Struthio camelus: one gene and its partner. The protein of the gene in region 1 purifies or fractionates together with the protein of each later gene. This does not show direct contact. Links are inferred from orthologs where the notes say so. Each region holds a gene or a part of one and is shown in the gene's direction. Other genes may lie near its edges.

Region 1 (9,493 bases):
TTCTGAGTGGGGAGGAAGAGAGAGAGTGAGGAAGGGCTGTTGTAGGCATTGCCAGGGTTCCTGTCTCCGGGGGAACGGACCCAGACTGGGGCTGGGGTCTGGAGTGTGGGAGCTTGAGCCAGGCAGGTGTGAAGGGTATTTCTGTGTTGGAGGGCAAACCTAATGCAGACAGAGGCAGCCCAACCCGTGCAGTTCTTCAGGCATCTCTGCAAAGTATGGAAGAAGGCTGATGCAACGAAACAGCTGGCTTTCTCTGAAGAACCTAGTGCGTTAGCACTGGCTCCTTTCCCAGGGAAACGTGATACACTTGCACTCAGAAGAGAACCATGTTTATCGTTTGATGAAGGGCTCAGGGTCAGCTGAGCATTTAGCCTCTGAGGCAGGCCCAGAGCTGCCAGGCAGAATGGGCACGGTCAGACCTGAGCCAAGGACAGAGATCCAGATCTCTTGCTGTTTCGTGTGGAATCGCTTCCTTTTGCCAGTTCAGGCTGCTCTGTCTATTGAGGAAGCCTGTGTTGTGTCCTGGGCCTCCTGACTTCTTGCTGCCACCTAGATCACTGCGGGCTTTTAGTCTGAGGAGCTAAGGGAAGCTATCTGGATCCCTTAGCAGAAAGCAAACTCTGAACTTTAGGAAGGTGCTATTCTCTTTGCGCTTGAAATAAGGCAAACACAGTTAATCCAGACATTCTGGGTCTCTCTGAAAGAGCAAGTAAAAAACATGTCTGCTTTTAGGGGGGAGATGATGTTCCCTGCTCCAGGCTCTCGCTGGCATTTTCGCAGAAGTGATGGGGACAGTTAATTCCTCTGGCAGCAAGAACTTTCTCACTCGTGCCACCCTGAAGTGACTTAGGCATTGTTTGGTAGTGCCTATCCCATATATGGACTATCTCAAATGTGTTGCTGCTGGGAAATAGCTCTGGAGCTTGTGAGGGCTAGAATCTGGGAAGCTCCAAACTGGGGCTCTGCATCTCAAGGAGTGAATCCTTAGTGCTGTTGTCTGGTTTCTGATGAGCTGAATATATATAAGAACTGAAATCAAAGCCATGGAAGACTAATGCTGCAGTTTCTCCTTATTGCAGCTGGTGAAACTGGCAAAGCGTCTTAAGAAAGAGAAAGTCAACGTTGACATAATCAACTTTGGAGAAGAGGTGAGACTTCTCCCCTGTTCCTTTTAATTCAGATCCAAGCCAGGGTTTTGTATCCTTTCCAGCCTGTAGATCTTGCTTGGGCACATGAGTGAAAAAAAGGAACAGTTCTCTGAACCTCAGTCTCTTTAGCAGCTGTCTCAATAAAAATGCTAATGTCAGGAGTAAGAGACCTCTCCCATTTCACTGCAAGCATTGTTGAATGCTTTTCTCCTTAAAGGAAATACCAGAGCCACTCATGTGCCTTTGAGTGGCGTTTCTGACCCCTCACTCCTTGTCTTGGGATCAGCATCACATGTTGCTCTGCTCTGATCCGGGCACTGTTGGGGGTTTTTGTTCACGGGGAGAAAAGTAGCTTGCAAGAGGATAATACAGCCAAGGCATGGCTTTCCTGCTGGGAGGGCTGCGCAGCCGCCCACTACTGGGCCTCTGTGACAGATGGCAGCCCCCAGGGATGAAGCGTGGCATAACCCCAAGCCGCTTGTACAGCTCTTGGTTACCCTGTACTGTGAGAGCTGTAGAGAGTGAGCCAAGGACTGGGAGGACGTTGGGGTGTGTAGAGCGACCTGCTGCCTGTCCCTCACAGAGCTGATGAGGGAGTCAAATCAGTCTCTAATCCCAGCTTTTCTCTTTGACTGTAGGAAGCCAATACAGACAAGCTCACTGCCTTCATTAACACCTTAAACGGCAAGGATGGGACTGGCTCCCACTTGGTGACAGTGCCTCCGGGGCCGAGCCTAGCCGATGCCCTCATCAGCTCCCCCATTCTGGCTGGGGAGGGCGGTGCCATGCTGGGCCTTGGGGCCAGCGACTTCGAGTTTGGTGTGGATCCGAGCGCAGACCCAGAATTGGCTCTGGTAAGCGATGAGGAGACAGAGGGTGATGGTGAGCATGAGCTTGGGATGTCAGAGCTCTGCCCAGCTCATCTTTGCACTGTCCCTGTCTCCACAGGCCCTGCGGGTCTCCATGGAGGAGCAGAGGCAGCGGCAAGAGGAGGAGGCCAGGAGGGCTGCAGCCGCCTCTGCGGCTGAGGCTGGGATCGCAGCCACTGGTGGGGACGGTAAGGAACTGGACAGGGAATAAGCTTGCTCAAGGCAAGTGTGTAGGGCGAGGCAGCATGCTCCCCAGGGAGCACATCTACACCCAGCCAGTGGGAAGGGGTGCCCGGACTCCTGTAGCTGCGCTCAGAGGTGTGGGGCTGCCCCGACACCGTGGCATGTAGGCTCTGTTCATGGCAGGGCTCTTCTGTGCAATTTTGCTGTTCCCAGAGCCACCACGGTGAAACGTGAGGGGCTTTCTGGCCTGAATCATTGGACTTGCCTCCAATCAGGCTGTTTAGCCTCAGCATTTGATGCAGATCCAGGCCTGGGAGCTACATCCTACTTCTTCTGAAACTCCCCTCTGTTCCCAAATGGAGATAGATCCCCCTGTCTCATGAATGCTGCAGGGAGCTGCTGTGCTCTAGCCCCCTTCCCCATAGCTGTGTGTGTAAATGCACAGCTGCATTTACAACAGTGGAAGCGGTTCTCGTGCTGCTGGTCATGCCATGGGAGTGCCCTTGTCACCTAGCGACTCAGAGCAGCTCTCCTGGCTGGTTCCTGAGTGCGGGGTTTTGTCCGTGCAGATTCAGACGACGCTTTGCTGAAGATGACGATAACTCAGCAGGAGTTTGGCCGAGCTGGGCTGCCTGACCTCAGCAGCATGACGGAGGAGGAACAAATTGCCTACGCCATGCAGATGTCACTGCAGGGAGCGGGTGAGTGGCTGGGTGCCGGCGCTCATCTCATTCTCAGCTGACTTGCCCCAGAACAAGGGTGAAGGGGCAAGTCCTCCATATCTGGGACTAGAACCGCTGTCCCCTACACACTGACATGCCCTGAAGTGGGGAGTTGTCGCCTGGACAGGGCCTGAATCTCCCTGAATGCCTGTGAAGTGTGTACCTGGGCCGCTCAACTGTGACCTCTGTCCTCCACCATGTCCAGACTGGGGCTGCAGGTATGTAAATCCTCTGTTCTGAGCTGTTTCTCTCCTCTCAACAGAGTTTGCCCAGGCAGAGGCGGCAGAAGTGGACAGCAGCACAGCCATGGACACATCTGAACCCGCTAAGGTGATGCTTTGCCATCCTGGTCTGTCTGGAAAGGCCTGACCCAGCATCCCTGAGCCCCTCTCTGCTTGTGCTCAGCCCTGGGGCCAGGTTCCTTGTTATGTGCTGCCTCCATCCCTTCACCCTACAGACTTGCCTTGAGCTTCAGCTTCCTGGGTCACTAGGACCCACCCTTTCCCTGGCAGAGTCTGTCCTGCTGAGGGGCACATCCATGACCACATCCCAGCCCATCCCTGACTCCTCTCTCTCTCCCTGCAGGAGGAAGATGACTACGATGTGATGCAGGACCCCGAGTTCCTGCAGAGCGTGCTGGAGAACCTGCCTGGCGTGGACCCCAACAACGAGGCCATCCGCAACGCCATGGGCTCCCTGGCCTCACAGGCCTCCAAGGAGAGCAAGGACAAAAAGGAGGAGGAGAAAAAGTGACAGCGCTGGGGCTGGGTCTCGCTGATGGGCGGGCAGTGAGTCGGTCACACACTTCATCGCTTCAGCGTAGCCATTGCCCCTGGGGCAAGCGTGGAGGAGCCCCAAGCGTGTGAGGGGACAGGGTAGGTCTGGGTTTTCTTGATGTAACAGGTTAATAAAAGCATTTAAAGTTGCTGTCGCTCCCTTTTGGGCCAGCTGGGGGAAGGGGCTCCCCAGTTGTCCCCAGTGCTGGGGGAACTAGGCCCTGGGGCCCCACCTCCCTTAAGGCCTCGGTGCCAAGCCCCGCCCCTTGCACCACCTCCCGGCATGCCCTGCTCCAGCCCTCGCCAGCGCTGAGGGACTGTTTACACAGCCCTAGGGGCGGCATGAGCCGTTGATGAGCAGTGGAGTCAGCCAATCAGTGGGGTTTGCAGGTGGATGTTGTTGCTCATGGGGCTCTGGGTGCGGCCAATGGGGGATTGAGGTGGGGGGGAGGGTGGGATGAGGTGGACTTTTTTATTGAGTGGCGGCCATGCAGCTCCATGAGAGGCAGGGCTTCATTGTGAGCGGCAGGGGGAACAGCCAGTTGGAAAATTGAGAGGGAGGAGCACGTGTGCATGACAGGGCTCTATGCTAGTGGGGCTGGGCCCTGTCGTTCCCTGCCAGCCTACGGGTGGGTGGGGGGGCAGTCAGCCCCCGTCCCTGAGTGACAGCATCCCTGGCAAATAGGAGATGGGGGTCAGCCCTCCTCTGAGAGCCTTCAACCAATTGGACCGGTCGATGGGCGGGCCCTCATGTTGATCGACGAACCTCTCGGTCAATAGAGATGCAATAGCAGGGAGACGCCCAGTCGGCCACGGCTCATGACCAATAGCTGCGAGAATCGCTACTTGAAGGACAGCCTCCTTTAGCCAATGGGGAGCTGCATCGGGAGGGCTGGCGTGATGAGCCCAGCAGTCAGCCAATAAACAGCGAGGCTGCCCTGTGGGTGTGGCATCGCCAGCGGCCAATGGGAAATGCGGTAGCCGAAGTGGGCGGAGACCAGCCTTTGAATGGCATCTCCATCCCCCAATGAGCACACGCCACGGGAGGCGGGCCCCAGCCGCGGAGTAGTCGCCCGCTACCCCAATGGCGAGTGCGAGAAGCCGAGGCCGCCTGAGAGCGACGGCCACGACGGCAAATGGGAAGGCACGTGGCGGCGAGTGACGGGCGGCTCCGCCAACGGCGCGGCGCGGGTGGGGGCGGGCGTGCGGCGCGCGAGCGGCCGCCGGCGGAGGGAAGGGGGCGCGAGCGAAGCAGGAAGTGGTTGAGGCGAAGCGGTCGCCGCGGAGGGGCCTGGGGCGGGAGCCACACGCCTCCCCCGACCCCCGCTTGAAGCAGCAGGTACCGCCGCCGCCGGGCCCGGTCTGAGGGGCCCCCGGCCCGGGGGGGGACCGCGAAGAAGGGCCAAGGGGCGCCCGGGCCTATGGGGGGGCGGGACGGGCCACCCCAGTCTGAGCGGGGCTGGGCGCGGGTCCCCCAAAATCCTGGGGTTTGGGGGGGTCCGTTACCTCCCCCGAGATCTTGGGGGGAGGTGGGGGACATCCACTTCTCCCTCTCCCGGGCTGGAGAGTTCATCCCCTCCCGAGGGGGTTGGGCTTAGGCATCCCTGTCCCCCAGGATTGGGGGGTAATGGTCACCTCCCTTCAGAATTTGGAGGTAACAGTCACACTTCCTCCCTTGGGGTGTGTTGGGGGGGGGTAACGGTCCTCCCCTTCCCCCTCGGGGTTTGGGGGGATAACGGTCATCCTCCTAGCATTATGGAGGGATAGCGCTCATGCCCTTTCCCTCCTCGGGATTTGTGGAGTGGGTGGAGGTTATCCTCTGCCACTCCTTGTTTTTTGGGTGGGGGATATAAATGGTCATGTGCCCCTGTATTTCCTGGGGGCCTGGTCACACACCTTCCCCCAGCCTTGGGGCTTTTGGGGAGCTGATTTTGGCTCCCCTCCCCCCTATCTCTTGTAGCCTGGCCATGTTCCCCCAGCCCTGGTGATGGGGGCACTTGTCCATTCCCCCTTGCAGCTCTTGGGGACTCCTTGGAAATGGGAGGGGAGCTGGCCATGGTCCCCTGTACTTCCTGGGGGGGGGGGGGGGGAGGATCTCATCCTGTTCCTACCCTACTCCAGTTTGGGATATTGGGGCGTTTGGTCGTGTTCCAACCCCCCCCCCCCCAGCTCCTGGGAGAGCATAGTCCTGCCTCTCCTTCTCCGCTCTGGGACTTGAGGTGTTGTCACACCCTACCAGAGCTCTGGGGGCATGCTGGTCTTGGCCTTCTTCCCTCCTGCCCTGGGGGCTGAGTGGGGGGAGCCTTTCCCCACTGGCATGTGGTTCTGTGAGGGGCTGGCTGTGGGCTCCCCCAGCTCTTCAGGTGTAATACTCACCTCGCATCTCTTTTGGGAGGAGCACGTGCCCAAAAGAGGGGTGGCATTGTGCTCTCCTGCTCCTGGCTGCTTACAGATGGGATCCTTCACCTCCAGCTCCAGGAGGAGCTTTCATCTCCCCACCTCCCATGTGTCAGCGATGGTTAAAGCATGCACCTCCTCCATGTGGAGAGAAGCATCACTTTGTCCTCCCAGGTGGATTTGGTGGATAAGGGGATGGGTCCTGACCTCACCCAGTGCATGTGGCAGAAAGGACCTTACAAATAAGGTGGCGTCTTGGTTTGGAGCCCCATTTCCTGGGAGGGGTTCTTGCTCCTCCAGTTTCTGAGGAGCGGCCATGTGAATAAGAGGCTGGTCCAGTTTTGAACCATGCAGAGCCACTCTGGTTTCTCTAGGTACCTGTGCCTGAAGATGGCAGTTGAGAATGAGATGTGTGGGTCTCTTATCACACCTCCAATGTCCTGGAAGGATGGTGCTGTGCCTCCCTTATTGTGTAGGTTTTAGGGAGGAAGGATCTTGCTATTATCCTGGTTTTAGTTTTGGAGAGAATAAGGAAGGCTTGGGGAGGATCTTGTTGTAGTCTTCATAATGGCAACACATGTGTTTTAGGAAGAAAGAGGAGGGCAGGAGGGCCTGTGCTAGCTATCTCCCTACCTTGGGATGGTTGGGAGGATTTGGGCTCACAGGCCAGCCCTCTAGGAGGGCTTGGCGTGGATCCAGATGCAAGAAAGGGAGGGCAATGAGCTGGGAGAAGGCTTATAGAGAGGTGGGCATTGTGTCTCCATCCACCCTGACTTCCAGCAGGGGATAACTGGGAGCAGTGAAGTCTCCCAGGAGCTTCTGGCTGCCACTTTGCAGACACTTGAGGTGCTCTATGAGGTTCGGGGGAGGCTGTGCAGGTTTGGGGGCTGCTTTGGGACTGTGGGCAGTGAGGTGACCCTGCCCTGGGAGCTCCTTCCTGAAGGCCTGGGGAGGAGGAGGAGAAAGCAGAGGAGTCACAGGCCAGGGGGATGGACTTCCGTTGCAGAGAAGTCAAGCATTTTGGTGTGGCCGTTTCTTGTGGGTATTGGCCACTTCCTTAAGGGCCTCTTGTTTTTTTGTTTGTGAGAGTGAGGTTCAATTGGTAGTAACTGTTGTTTTCTCTCAAACCCAGTTTCTCCCTTTTCCTTCCTCCTCCCCTTTCTTGATCTCTGCCCCAAAAAGTCCCTTAATTCCTTGCTGCTGATCTGTCTGCGTGTAATCGTGTAACAGGCAGTCCTTGGGTGCTGTGATTATCTCCCCACAGTGAGTTTTATTCAAAGCAAGAAACTTTCTTTAAAAAGTGAGCAGAGAAAGTTTGATAGCCTTGACCTTTAAGTGTGTTTGATTTAAGCAGTTCATTTAGGAATTGAGACTTGTTACGGCCCTGATTTCTCTGCAGAGACCAATTTAAATCAATGGGACCTTGCAGAAATGTGAGAAGTGGGTTGTTGGAGATGTGATGTGAGCGTGGAGGTATTTCGGAAACTCCTCTGATGACCAGGAAGATCCTCCTGGTGTTGAGAGCGGTAGTAGTAACAATGCCTGAGATGCTCAACGTCTTGCAGGAATCAAGTCTGTCTATAATTTTCTGGGTTTATTCCCCTCTGATTAAGTTCTTCTAGGTCATCTATTCTAATCTGTACTTCTGCTAATGTGGGATTGCCCCCTACAACAAGTTTTGTAGAGCTTTAATTTATTTGTGCCATAAAACACCTAAGCACGCATCTGGGTGCTATAAAAATAATAATGTACTAAGAGCAAGCAAACACAGTGATGGCACGGGGCTGTTGTAGCGTGTGATGAGAGCGAGCGAACTCTATGTTCCCTTCCTTTTGGCATCCTGCATGGCAGATTTTCTAATTATACTGCTAGAATAAATGGGGTGTCCTGGCTGAGTTTGGAAACTTAATCCTGTAAAACTCGGTATGATGAAATAGCATGAATCGCATCACAATGGAGATAACTCTATTTCTGTTCTCTGACAATCTCAGAGCACTCAGTCTGTCTTGGGGATGGCTTAGCTGGAAATTACTAATAGCGTGCACTACCTGCGAGATCTCTAAGCGCTTCCACCAAGCAGGCAGGTCTTTCCCGTGACTTAGCACTGGAGGAAGGACGAGCCCAGCAGGCTATGTCTGAAGCGAGACAAGGATGCTCCGAAGGCTGGGCAGTGCTGCCAGAGATCATAATGGGGGTTGTTACTTGCTCTAGGTCCCAAATATCCTTATGACCTTGGGAAAAGCATCAGGTTAGGAGTCAGCTAGTTTGGGGACATGGATATCCTGGGTGAATCTCTGCCCCTTTTGCGCCTCTGTTCCCACCTGTGGACCTTTGGGGGCTGTCTTTTCTCTTCTCTGTGTTTTAGAAAATGGCAGTGTTCATTTGAGGAAGCTCGTGGTGCTTGCGTTGTTCTTCGCTGTTCTTGGTGTTGTCGGGGTAGGGTATTTATGCTGCAAGTGGAAGGAGGCTAAGCTGTGTTTCCTTTCCCCACCTGGAGCTTGCCCCTTCTCTGCCCTGAATGTGTACACCACCACTCTTGGCCTTCTCCAGCTCTGCCAGGCTAAATCGCAACGAGTGTGTGTGTGACTTGCCACTAGGGTAAACCATCTTGAGTATGTTATAACTGAGCAGCCTGTCTGATGCGGGAACCTGGCACTCTGCAGCCACGTAGACATCTGCGCTAGGAACATCTGTGCTTACCTGTGGACAGGACCTTGTCCTGCATCACCTTGGGGAAAGTTGCTCCTACCCTCCAGCCTGTAGCTTTGAATCGTGACGTGAAAATGAGCCTAGGTGAGGTGGGCGTCGTTTGGCAGAACACTTGGGGAGAGCTTGGTGATTCTCCCATGAAACGTCCATGCTGAACCAAGGAAGCCCTTGTCTACTGTGGATCCAGTTCACAGTGCTTAATCTGGGAACAAAAACTGTGTTACACAGTAACATGCACAGTAATGTTCAGCCCTGGAGGAATTTTGGGCACCTCACACTGGATGTTAGCGCAGAGCCTGGGACTCATCCCCCTTCCGCCACCTCCCCATGTTGACGCTGAGGCTACTTTCTGCTGATCAGCTCTACAAGAATGCCTGCCAGTGTTTAAAAACTTAATTTTTCAGGCTGGCCAAATTGTTGGGCTTACTGGATCTCATTCACCACTTGTTTGTTTTGATATCTCCAGAAGTTAGCAGATGGTAGAGACTTAATTCTGTTAAACGTATGGGAATCTAATCCTCGAGCAGCCTCCAGTCGGGATGTGTGTCATTGCTGTGCATGGCAGCTGGGCTCTGCTTGGGGACTGCGCCATGGCTCTGGCACTGGGCTGTAGGGCTCCTGTTCATGGTAGTTTTGGTGGATTTGCACCAGATTGCGAGGGGAAGAATAGAGTTTCCTGCTGGGTTCCC
Region 2 (10,415 bases), on another chromosome or scaffold:
TTTTCTAAGAACTACGGTACAATCTAAGTAGGCAATGGCATACTTTCATGCTACTTTTTCTCCAGTGGCAAAGCTAGTTAAAAAGTTTTCAGTCATCTGTATCTCCCGACAACTTCTTCCCGCTCCCATGCTGCAGTGTATTTAGCCTTTAGCTATGGCAATGGAACTGTTTATCATCTGGTTTACAGCACGGCTTATAGAACCTATGACTGAGTGATAAGAGGCAAACATAATTTTTAAGTTTAACTGAAAACATTTCACTGATCTGGTTTGCATGACTTCAGAAACAGTTGCGCTCATCTAACCGAGAGACTGATAAGCACATGGAAAGAAGTGAGTAGAGGGGAAAAACTAACCGGTTTCATTGCTGCAGAAAACGCAATATGCAACTACATCCTACACTGCCAATAGCAAATACATTTATTATGATGGCAAGCACTCCGTTATCTAGGACATAAATCAGAGATGGACAACAGGCATTAACTGAAAGTTAACATAAGAAAGGAGAATAAATTCTTGTATCTTTTACATTTTCTCTTAAACTGGATTTCATAGAGATGACTTACAAGGAAACGTAAACTAAAAAAGGAAAGCTATTTTTCCTCATGTTACACAACCTAACTGCTAAAAATATAAATAAGAACATACTGGAACATATAAAACCAGCACAAATTTACCCAGCTACAAAGTAAGCAAGTGGCACAACAAGGTAGAAGAACATCCTCTGTAACAAAAAAGGGAGGGGGAGGCAAATCATTTACGTACACGGGTTTGGGAGTGCACCTGTGAAATTAAGCAGCAGAGGAGTCATAATATTGAAGAGCACTTTTGAAAGAAATTCTCAGTAAGGAAAAAAAAAAAAAGTAGTGATTTTTCTGGCATACAAAATTGACTGTAAGACTGCACTGCAGTTCCATGAACAAGCTAAGCTTGCATAAGCCAGCACTACCATCAGGAAGAGCAATCTGGCCTTTCTCTTTACCACCAGTTGATTGTCTCTGCACCGCACGTGTCATCACAAGTAGCTGCACGGTAAATTGGACAGCAGAATTATATAAGTTAAAACTGACTCGGCAAAACAAGAGGGAGGAAAAACTATTAATTTTAACACAGATGAGTTTCCTAACCTGCTGCACTGGTCAGCTACACAAAGTCTTGTGTCTGCTTGAGGGGAAGAACAAGCAGCCAAAGCAGCAAAAACAACTTAAAACACTCATTCAGCGAAAGTGCAAAGAATTCACTGACAACTGTTTGCTTCTAGCAGACAGAGAAAATATAGTTACGTAGGTATTGATGCCATCAGCATCTTGCTAAAACAACGATGCTTGCTTTCAGTCAGTTACGACTCAGGACCCACAGCAACAGGCTCCTTTGTGGCACAGCATTCAGACAGCACCATGGTACGTCCTGCAGACCCCTTTATTAGGGGACATGCCTCTTCCCTGTCACTGCCCATGTCAAAAGAGAGCTTCCTGACAGCCTTAGCAATACCGAAGTGGTCAACAATTCTGCCCTCACTGTGCTGTTTTTGGAGCGAGAGAATGACTGCAGGCTCCGAGAGAAGCCTCGTTACAAAATGCAGAACAGCTCAAATCGCAAAGACAACAGAAGGAAAAATCTGTAAGTTAAACAAAAGTATTGGTCACAACTCCATAACCTTGAGGTCTGTACTTTAACAAAGTATACAGAATACCCTCTACATCATTACTTAATTAACAAAATTCCTTAAGTACAGGAAGAATTCTTAAAAACTTGCAAGCAAGTTAGTCTAGAAGAATGACACAGTTTGCTTTTACAATACAGGCTCACTGCACTGCACTAACTGTTAGATTTATAGACAGCCACAAAGATACCTGAAGTTATGGTCCAGCTAAAAGGCAGTGAAAGGCAATTTTTCAATTTATGGTTTGTAACCACAGGGCTGCCCTTCAAAGTCTGGAGAAAAATATTCTTTCTGGAAGAAAAGAAAAAAAAAAAAGTGTTGCTCTCTGAGTTCACGGCAGCCTCCTTTCATTCTGAAAGGGGACTGAAATCATACTCAATTATCTCCTGAAGATATATTAGGACAGTAGCTTTTGTGAGGATAAGCTACTTTTCACGCACTTTGGGAGAAGAAGGTGGCAGGTAACCTTGCTAAAGCCCATCACATTAGCTATTACTTTTTCTGGTTGTCTGTTAAGCCGATAACATACCACAAATGTTCCACTCTGCTGGAAGTACGGGAGCTCCATTAAGCGGTATCTGTGGCCACCCTACCACAGAACGCAAGCAACAACGGAAATTGTTTTAGAAGGACGTCACACGAAATTTTTCTGAGATTGCACTAGTGGCTTAAAAAGAACCGTGCACAATGAAAGTGCAGTTTCTTTCAAAGACAAAGTCCACTCTCTCATCAAGAAAAGCGCTGGGACTAGACACACAAAGGCTGCTGTATAAAGATTCTCAGGGAAGGAAGAAGAAAGAAAATAGCAGTTATGTACTAAATTTAACAGCCCCTTCTCAGTATGTTATAATCAGAGTGGATCTCATTACAAACTTCTAAAGACTTCATAATAATTAGCAAAGTTAAGGTATAAAAAAGCACAATTAAGGTGGAAAAACAACCATGCATAAGAATTTCCTTTAAAGAAATTCTTATAATTTAATTTATTACATACTAACGCTAATTTCTAACTCTAACATACCTATTGTTTTTTGGATGGCCTCATGGATATAGGCAATTGAATGCCACCTAGAAAAGAAAACCTGTATTTACTCTGATGTCACTACACAGCCCTGAGTAAATCATTAAAGAGGTAGTCAGCTGTAAAAAGTTTCATTTGTACATTCTTTAGTTCGTAAGTGTACAATCTAAGGTACCACAAGTTGGATCTGGAAACCTGCCACTGACAGCTGCAGCTGAAATCACAGCAAGCACAAAATGCTCTGAAAAACATTGATTTAAAAAAAAAAAAAATAGTAGTCATTCAGTGCCCCAAAACTCAAAACCTAAAAATAATTTCACTTTAATATAGAGAGGAAATCAAGACCAGAAGGCAATGGGGATAACAGCTGTGTAGGCATGTTCAGTAACACTTATGAAGCACTCAACATAGTGTCTTGATAAACGTCACAAAAAATACTCAAAAACATCAGTAGTTTTGTTTGGTTGTCAGAGTTTGTATTACACATAATAAATATGGTACAAAGCCTACATGGTGAACAATGAAATATAGGTTTCATTCAGTAACTACTGTGTGCTTTTCTGCGGTGAATGAGACAGAGGTCTAGCACCAAAAAAAATTTGTCAATAGAATGAAAGGCTGTACAGAATTTATTTTTTTAATATTATACTTATGGCAACAAAACCGTTTATCACCTGTTACATAGAACCATCGTTCCTCTGCATAAGAAGTGAATGCTGTCCCAATCTACAGATAATTTTTGCATCAAAAACGGACATGCAGAACGTTTAAGTTATACTATAAAAAGCACACAAGTCTAGTCAAACAAACACAATAAAAAGAAAATAATCAAAAGCTACACTGGAATCTAGTCTGCAAAATTTTAAACTTTCAGATTTATTCTGAGTAGAAATGAGATATTCTGCTAATTATGCTTGGGTTTAACTAATATTGGCTTACTCTTCTTCCTATAAAAGAGGTAAGCTTCACCACCAGAGCAAAAATACGCTGGGGGAGCTGCACAGTACCTCCAAATACCAGTAGACTTACCAGCTACTTACAGAAGCACAACTCCTGTGTTCATACAAAGTCTGAGCTAAGACAAATGGAATTTAGAGACTGAATTCCAGAAAACACACTTTTTTTTTTTTTAGAACAGCAAAGACACACAAGGCAACCTCATTAAAAAGTAACATATACAAGATACATAAGAAGTTCTACATATGCGAATGAATCCTAAAATGAATGTTTTATCCCAGGTGCAAGCATTTACTCTCCTCCTTAAAAGCTAACTAAAAAGCCTTTTTCACCTCAGCTCCCAAGGGCCTAGTTATTTTTTTTTTAAATCAGTTCTGCATTTCACATATTAACTTTCATATCATAGACATAATTTATTACACATCAACACTGGATTTGTCCAACATTTAGAAGGAAATTGTCTGACTGTTGCTGACTCCTTTCTCCACTCTATTCCTGCACAGTATCCTTAACAGTTTCAGAAGTGGGTCAAGATAAAAATAAAAAAGACATCTGCAGGGAAGTATCTTCTCTGAGAATCTAAAAGCATTTGCATTTTTAAAATAACCTGATTTTACATCTCAGCCAACTGATGTTAAAATGTTTCAGGAAAGTATTTAAGTTATCTATTAATTTACAAAGCCCTACCACACACTCGACACCAGCCTAATAGACTCACACGGCAACACACAACAGTTTTGTCCCAAAGGTAGGGAAAAGATGTCTAAAAGAGAACAGCCACAACCCAAGAAACTAATAAGCTGCTTGCATATAGAAATAAACTGTACGGTAACTTTCAAATGCAAAGGGAAAGAGAAATTCAGAAACTAGTCTGAGATTGTGAAATCTTGCGTTTTTCTTCAGGTCATCCGTCACTACCGAGCTGACTCAGCAACAGAGGGAGCAGCGGTGCAAAGGGCGCCTAAGCAGTTTTTAGCTACCATTTGGTTTAAGCCTGCTTAAAACATCAGTGGCTGCCTGAAGCCCTCTTTGCAACAGTGCTCCTACATGCTTCACCACGTGGACGTCTGAACAGGGGGAAAAAAAAAAAAAAAGTAAATAACTCTCACACACGACCAAGAGACACACGAATTTGCTCTAAGCAAAGGGGTCTCAGGAGCTTTTTTATTCAAGGGAACGGAACTGAGTAAAAGGGAATTTACGGGAGGCTGCGAGGCGTGCAACAGATGCAGAGATGAAGGAAAGCTGGACGAAAAAAAAAGAAAACCAAACAAACGAAGAGCGAGCAGCAAAGCGGGAGCGAGCAAAGCCGAAGCTCCTGTCGAGACGCGGAGGGGGGCGCGGGCAGGGTGCCAGGCAGCCAACAGGCCTCCGGGCAAAGAGGCACCGGGGCACAGCCCGGCAGGGAAGAGGGGAGAGGGCAGAGCTGCGCAGCGGCGGCGCGGAGGCGAACGGCGGGGATGTACGGGGCGGAGCTCCGCGGAGGTAAGCCGGAGCGCCGCGCTGTCGCCTCGCGTCCCTGCGCGGCTCGGCGCCCACCGGGCCCCTCACCCTGCTCCGGTACCTCGAACATTAGCCCCAGCAGGAGGCCCACCGCCAGGCAGGACACGGCGTCTGCATGGTTCTGGATGACGAACTCGTGGCTCAGCATTGCCGGGCTCCTGGCTTTCCGGCGGAGCCCCATGGCGGTGGACGGCGCCCAGGGCCCCGGCGGCCCCGCCGAGGGGAGCAGCACCTCCCCACCCCCGCCCCGCGGCAGCCACTTTCACCTCCCGCCCAGTAAACGCCGCTGCTCCCAGGGCCCGCCTCCCACCCTTGGCCAGCCAATCAAGCTGAAGACGACCTCTAACTAGCAGCCCTAGCAGCCAGTCGCGAGGCGGCCGGGAGGAGCGGTTTCCAGGGGGGCGGTACTTCAGCGGCAGTCGGGCACTCACGACTGGAGTCGGGGGTCCGACATGAGTGACGCGGGATTCATCCAGTCCCATGTGCGGATGGGTGGGGCTTGCTCAGGAGGCCCCCCCCACAGATAGTGGTCGGTGGGCGGGGCTTGGCTCAGCTGGCGTTCGGGGCGCGCCTTCGCCGTCTCTGCAGGTGGCGGCGGCTGTGGGGAGCGGGCAAGTCCGGTTTGGCCCGGCTCGAGCCGGTCTCCGTGGGGCGGGGCTGGGCTCGCCACAGCCCCGGGGACGACAGGGCGGCTTTGCCGCCGCAGGGCCCGCGGGGAGCGAGACAGGTCGGGCGGCCAGCTCCCCTCACAGGCCCGAGGAGCGCCGCCTGCGCAGGTGGCGGGCGCCGCCCTCAGAGCCGGCTAGCGGCTCCTCGCCCCGCTCTCCGCCTCCGAGCGGGCAGTGGTCGCTCACCACCGCTAGGCAAAAACGGAAAAGCTGTTGGGAAATCCCCACCTTACCCTCCTTTTTTATAATTTCCATTGAAATGGAGGGGGAGGGGCTAAAAGGTGCTTTGAGGCCCTAGAGATGTGAGGATTTGGCCACCTGCAGGCTCTAGCTGGAATTCAAGGGGGAAAGCAGACCGGTTGACCAAAACTGTGACCGAGGCAGGGGAAGGCCGGAGGGGGTGATGGCATCACAGAGGAGAAGGTTGAAAGGGGAAAAAAGAACTTCGCTTCCATCTTGCACGCAGATGCCTCCCCTGCTGTGGGGAGCATAGCGTCTGCTGATTCCAGTGAAGGGATGATTCATCTGGAGCCAGCTGCTAAATAGGACCAAAAAATCAGTTCCGTTTTGAAGGTAGTTTTGCTACCTGTTGATTTTTAAATGTTTTAGGCTCACTGAAGCGGTTTCTATGTGCCACAGAATTTCCTTTCTGTTATGCTTTCTCCTAGTTAGTCAGTTTGACAATACTCATGCTCCTGTTTCTACCCTCATTTTGAGTTTCAAGGTAACGTATTCAGAAGCTGCATTTTATGTGTGAATTTAAGCATTGCTACAGAGCGCTTGTACAATACGGACGTTTGGTGAGGCAACGGCCATGCATATGCTTTACCTCAGCCAAAAAGAGGGATTCTTAAATAAAAATACTTGCAGTAAATCATTTACAAACCATTATTGGTTTCTTGATGAAAAGGAAATGATAAAATAGCAAGACTTAATTGTTTATTATAATTACTATTTTTCTTTTTTCTTAAGCTAAAAAGAGTATCCCCAATTGAAATTGTAACTATGATTCAAAATTTTTTTCCCTTCTTCTGGAAACATATTAGAGATAGGGGCAAATAATGCCAAATAGAAATGGGAATTTGCAGTACCAAGAAACACAAGCCTGGAATGTGGTTTTGCAACCCAGAATATACCCCTTTAATATAATTTGCACCGTTTTTGTCCCATATCGGTGAGCAAGCTAGTCTGTATTTTTATGAACTGGGAACATGACTTTCTAGAAGAAAAAAGCTATAGGGCTCTATATTTTTATGGATTTTTTTATTCATTTTATTTGGATTTTTATATTTTTACGTTCTATGTTTATAGCTTTGTAGATAGTCTCAGCATAAACTTCAGCTCTCATATATTTGCTCAAGTTCCAAACAAGCAATGTTGTTTGACTTTTTATTTTGAAACAAAACTAAAGAAATTTAGGAGCAGATAACTTTTATTACCGATTCCCCACTTGCATCGATGCATGTTTTCTTACAAGAAACTCAATTTTAATACATGACCTAAGTAAGATTTGTAATTAATCTAGTAATATTTTTTCAGAAAAATGAATCTTGAGGCATATTTGCTAGGTATAAAACTGATTTAGACAATGAGATACAATGAGGCAGTCAGATATGATAATTTACAGTAATATTAAACGAGTATTTGAGTTCAAGTACCTGCTCCTAGAGATATCTACTGACTTCTGCCTTTGTACATTTACTAACTTAAGTTTCTAATATAGATATACTCTGTGCACAAGAGGAGCTAACAGTTGTCTAAACTGATTATTTGAATTGACAAAAGTCTTGAACCTACTTTGGAGTTAAAAACATTGTGTCTGGGAGGCAAGAGGAAAAAAAAAGGCGCTCAAGTGAAGTCTCAGACCACCTTTTCACCTGTTAGAACCCTGTGGAACCCTCTGTTCAAGTTCTGTTTTTCTCCTCTGGCAGTTGAGGGCAACATCATGTTAAGGTAATGAAGTGAAATGACCCTTTCGTTCCAATGTGTGTATGATGCGCGTCTTGAAGAAGACTTGAGATTGCTGAGCTCTGTCTTTGGCAAGTAAGTAAACTCTATTGTTTAACGCACTATATAAATACATATAAAGAGGTCAGTGAAATGCCATACTTCTGTTGCTTACATTTACTTACTTTTCTCAGGTGTCTTTTCAGAAGTTATATTTACGATTTGAAAACTGACAAAACTGGGTGGGCCTGCCAAAAGACAACCCACTTACTTGTTGGTTATCTACTTTCCTGCCTGGTTCATAATTCTGTATCTATATTATTTAAGCTCTAAGTTCCAGGTTTAAAGTCTCAAGTATTTTACCTCTTTGATTCCACAACTTCTGCGTTATACATGGGCATCTTCTCATCAGTATTTCTAAATTATGTCACTGTCATGGCAACAGCCTTTCCCCCTCATCCCTTTTTCTGGTAGAGCAGAGTAGGTTCTTCTAGAATACATTAATGAGTACTGGTAGTTCATTAATTAATTTGAAGGTTGCTTCAGTTTTTTTTGGCTCCTAGTGGGTCATTTCCATTGTCCTCTCCTTTAAACAAATTAACTTAGCCAAGAAAGCTGTTGTTTCCTTTTTTACTTGTTTTCATAGATATTTTCTCTGTTAAATAAATGAAACAAAAAAGCTTAACCTGCAGTTTAAACTTTTCTGTAGTTGTATCATTACACTTATTAATGCTATTTGCAGAGCTGTAGAAATCAACCAGAGACCTGCTTGACCATGCTGAAGTAGCTAAGAATGACCAACCTGACTCCTTTATTTTATGCTTCAGTTAAATAAGATGAGTTAATTCAGAATTGGAGTAAATTCAGGGAAGAAGAAAGCACTAGTCATTTTCGTGGGGTAAGTAAACCCAATTTAAAAATCACTAGGCAAATACATTCAAACTGGTTGCATGATTTCCTTTTGTGTGTGTGTGTGGGGGGGGGGGTGTTAAAGGGCCAGCCAACATGGAGGGGGGGTATTTTGTTGTTGGCTTTTTTTGTATTAGGCACCGTATAAACACTGAGTAGCGTAGAGACCGCATCTAGCAGAATTTAGGATCTAAATAGACAAGCTAGATTCACTATGGGGAAGAACCATGCCTCGTAAGCAGTAAATAGTCCACTGGCACCAAAACACGTTAATTTTGTTCTTCTGGGACTTTCTGGGGAGGAGAGAGATTACATAGGAAAAGACAAGCTGGGGAAAACAGAAGAGGGCCACAGACACACATGGTAAAGCATTAGGAAAGAAGGACTGGAGCAAACCACCAAGGGAAAAACAGTCTTAGGCAAGCCTGTCTGCAAATGTTGGACTGTCATATCCCTGCTTTTACTGCTGCTCCTCCTATGGGTGATTTCCTTCTGCAGTCTTCAGCTGTAGTTATATGGCAGGAGGAGAGGAAGCATCATTTGAGTGTGACTGAAATGAGGGTGATCTCCCTTGACTTGTTCTGGGCCCAGGAATATTTGAGGGTAGGGGGTTGATCTGTTTGAGCCTGTTTTGCTCTCTGTCTGTTCTTAATACACAGGATTTACAAGGCAAAGTACAAAAGGATCAGGATTTCTAGGCCATATTTTTGTAAAATATTCTCTTTACACCAAACTTTCTGCCTGGAGAGAATCTTCCTAAAGCTAGTGGAATTCCAGCGTATGTGGCAGGAAAGGTCCTACCTTAGTTTGAGAAGGATATGGCAGATACAAGATATGAGGAAGTAGAAGACATGCATGTCTGATGTTTTCTCTATCCTTTGCCTAAAGGAAAACACTTGAGTGGGACAGGCTTATTTTAAACATTTGGCAATTAATAGCAAGAAAAATAAAATGCCACAGCAACAAAATAAAAATAGTTCTAGTTAAAATAAAAACTGTTCTAGTTAAACAATAGTAGCTGAAATGAAAATTACAGGAGCCTAACAATCTTTGTCCATTTGAGAATTAAAGAATTAGCTGGGCTCAGAAGGGAGTTTTTCTATTACAGTATAACTTCTCACAACGGGAAATAGAGTTTTGGCCCTTTCTCTGAAGTATACGATCCAGTCGTTATTGCAGAGTCAGGACTCTGAACTGGATGTATGATTGATATGTTTCTGCATGGTATTGCTTGCTTTTCTTTCCTTTTCATAAGGCACTACGAAGCAGACTCTGTAAAAATTAAAATTCAAGATTTAGTCATTGAGTAAAAATGCTTCTCAGTTTTGCAAAAATGGAACTGTGCAAAAAAGGGATAGCAGTTGTAGTATTAAAAATACGATAGTGAATTCGGAATATTCTGCGCTGCAATTTGAGAACAATCTGCCTGTTTCTTGAAGATCTGCTATCTCTGCAATAAAGGAAAACTGTTAGTAATGTACAGGGTAGGTCACATAACTGGTTTGAGGGAAGTGAAACAAGTATGGATTTGTGCCTCTGTCCTATAATTAAAATGCTCAATGGGAATCATACATCAAAAAAAACCTCCTCAAAATTAGACAGTAGTTGACGTCATTTTCCTGTAATATGTAGTTGAATGGCAACTTAAGAAAGGTGGGAAACAGGCTCTAGATTTTAGGTAGCGTATAAGAGTGAAAAGCTATCTTGTATGAAAAACAAAAGTAGAAATCCCGTTCAATGTCAGCAT

Evidence for each region.
Region 2: the proteins of ZNF687 (region 1) and ZMYND8 purify together in Homo sapiens (affinity purification with mass spectrometry; 4 studies listed by BioGRID and IntAct, with this or other methods). This does not show direct contact. The link is inferred for Struthio camelus from reciprocal best matches to the Homo sapiens genes ZNF687 and ZMYND8.

Annotation. Positions count from the first base shown.
Region 1 is NC_090971.1:76,510-86,002, forward strand, and holds the start of ZNF687 (zinc finger protein 687), read left to right. Parts: upstream 1-4,741; 5' UTR 4,742-4,842; intron 4,843-4,901; exon of another isoform or gene 4,902-5,037; intron 5,038-9,493. Other genes in the region: putative PIP5K1A and PSMD4-like protein, read left to right, coding at 1,080-1,148, 1,787-2,002, 2,097-2,205, 2,770-2,901, 3,185-3,252, 3,508-3,675. UniProt on the Homo sapiens protein: May be involved in transcriptional regulation.
Region 2 is NC_090959.1:8,661,234-8,671,648, reverse strand, and holds the start of ZMYND8 (MYND-type zinc finger-containing chromatin reader ZMYND8), read left to right. Parts: upstream 1-6,134; 5' UTR 6,135-6,385; intron 6,386-6,489; exon of another isoform or gene 6,490-6,536; intron 6,537-7,743; 5' UTR 7,744-7,855; intron 7,856-8,501; 5' UTR 8,502-8,657; intron 8,658-10,415. Other genes in the region: translocating chain-associated membrane protein 1-like 1, read right to left, coding at 5,206-5,325. UniProt on the Homo sapiens protein: Chromatin reader that recognizes dual histone modifications such as histone H3.1 dimethylated at 'Lys-36' and histone H4 acetylated at 'Lys-16' (H3.1K36me2-H4K16ac) and histone H3 methylated at 'Lys-4' and histone H4 acetylated at 'Lys-14' (H3K4me1-H3K14ac).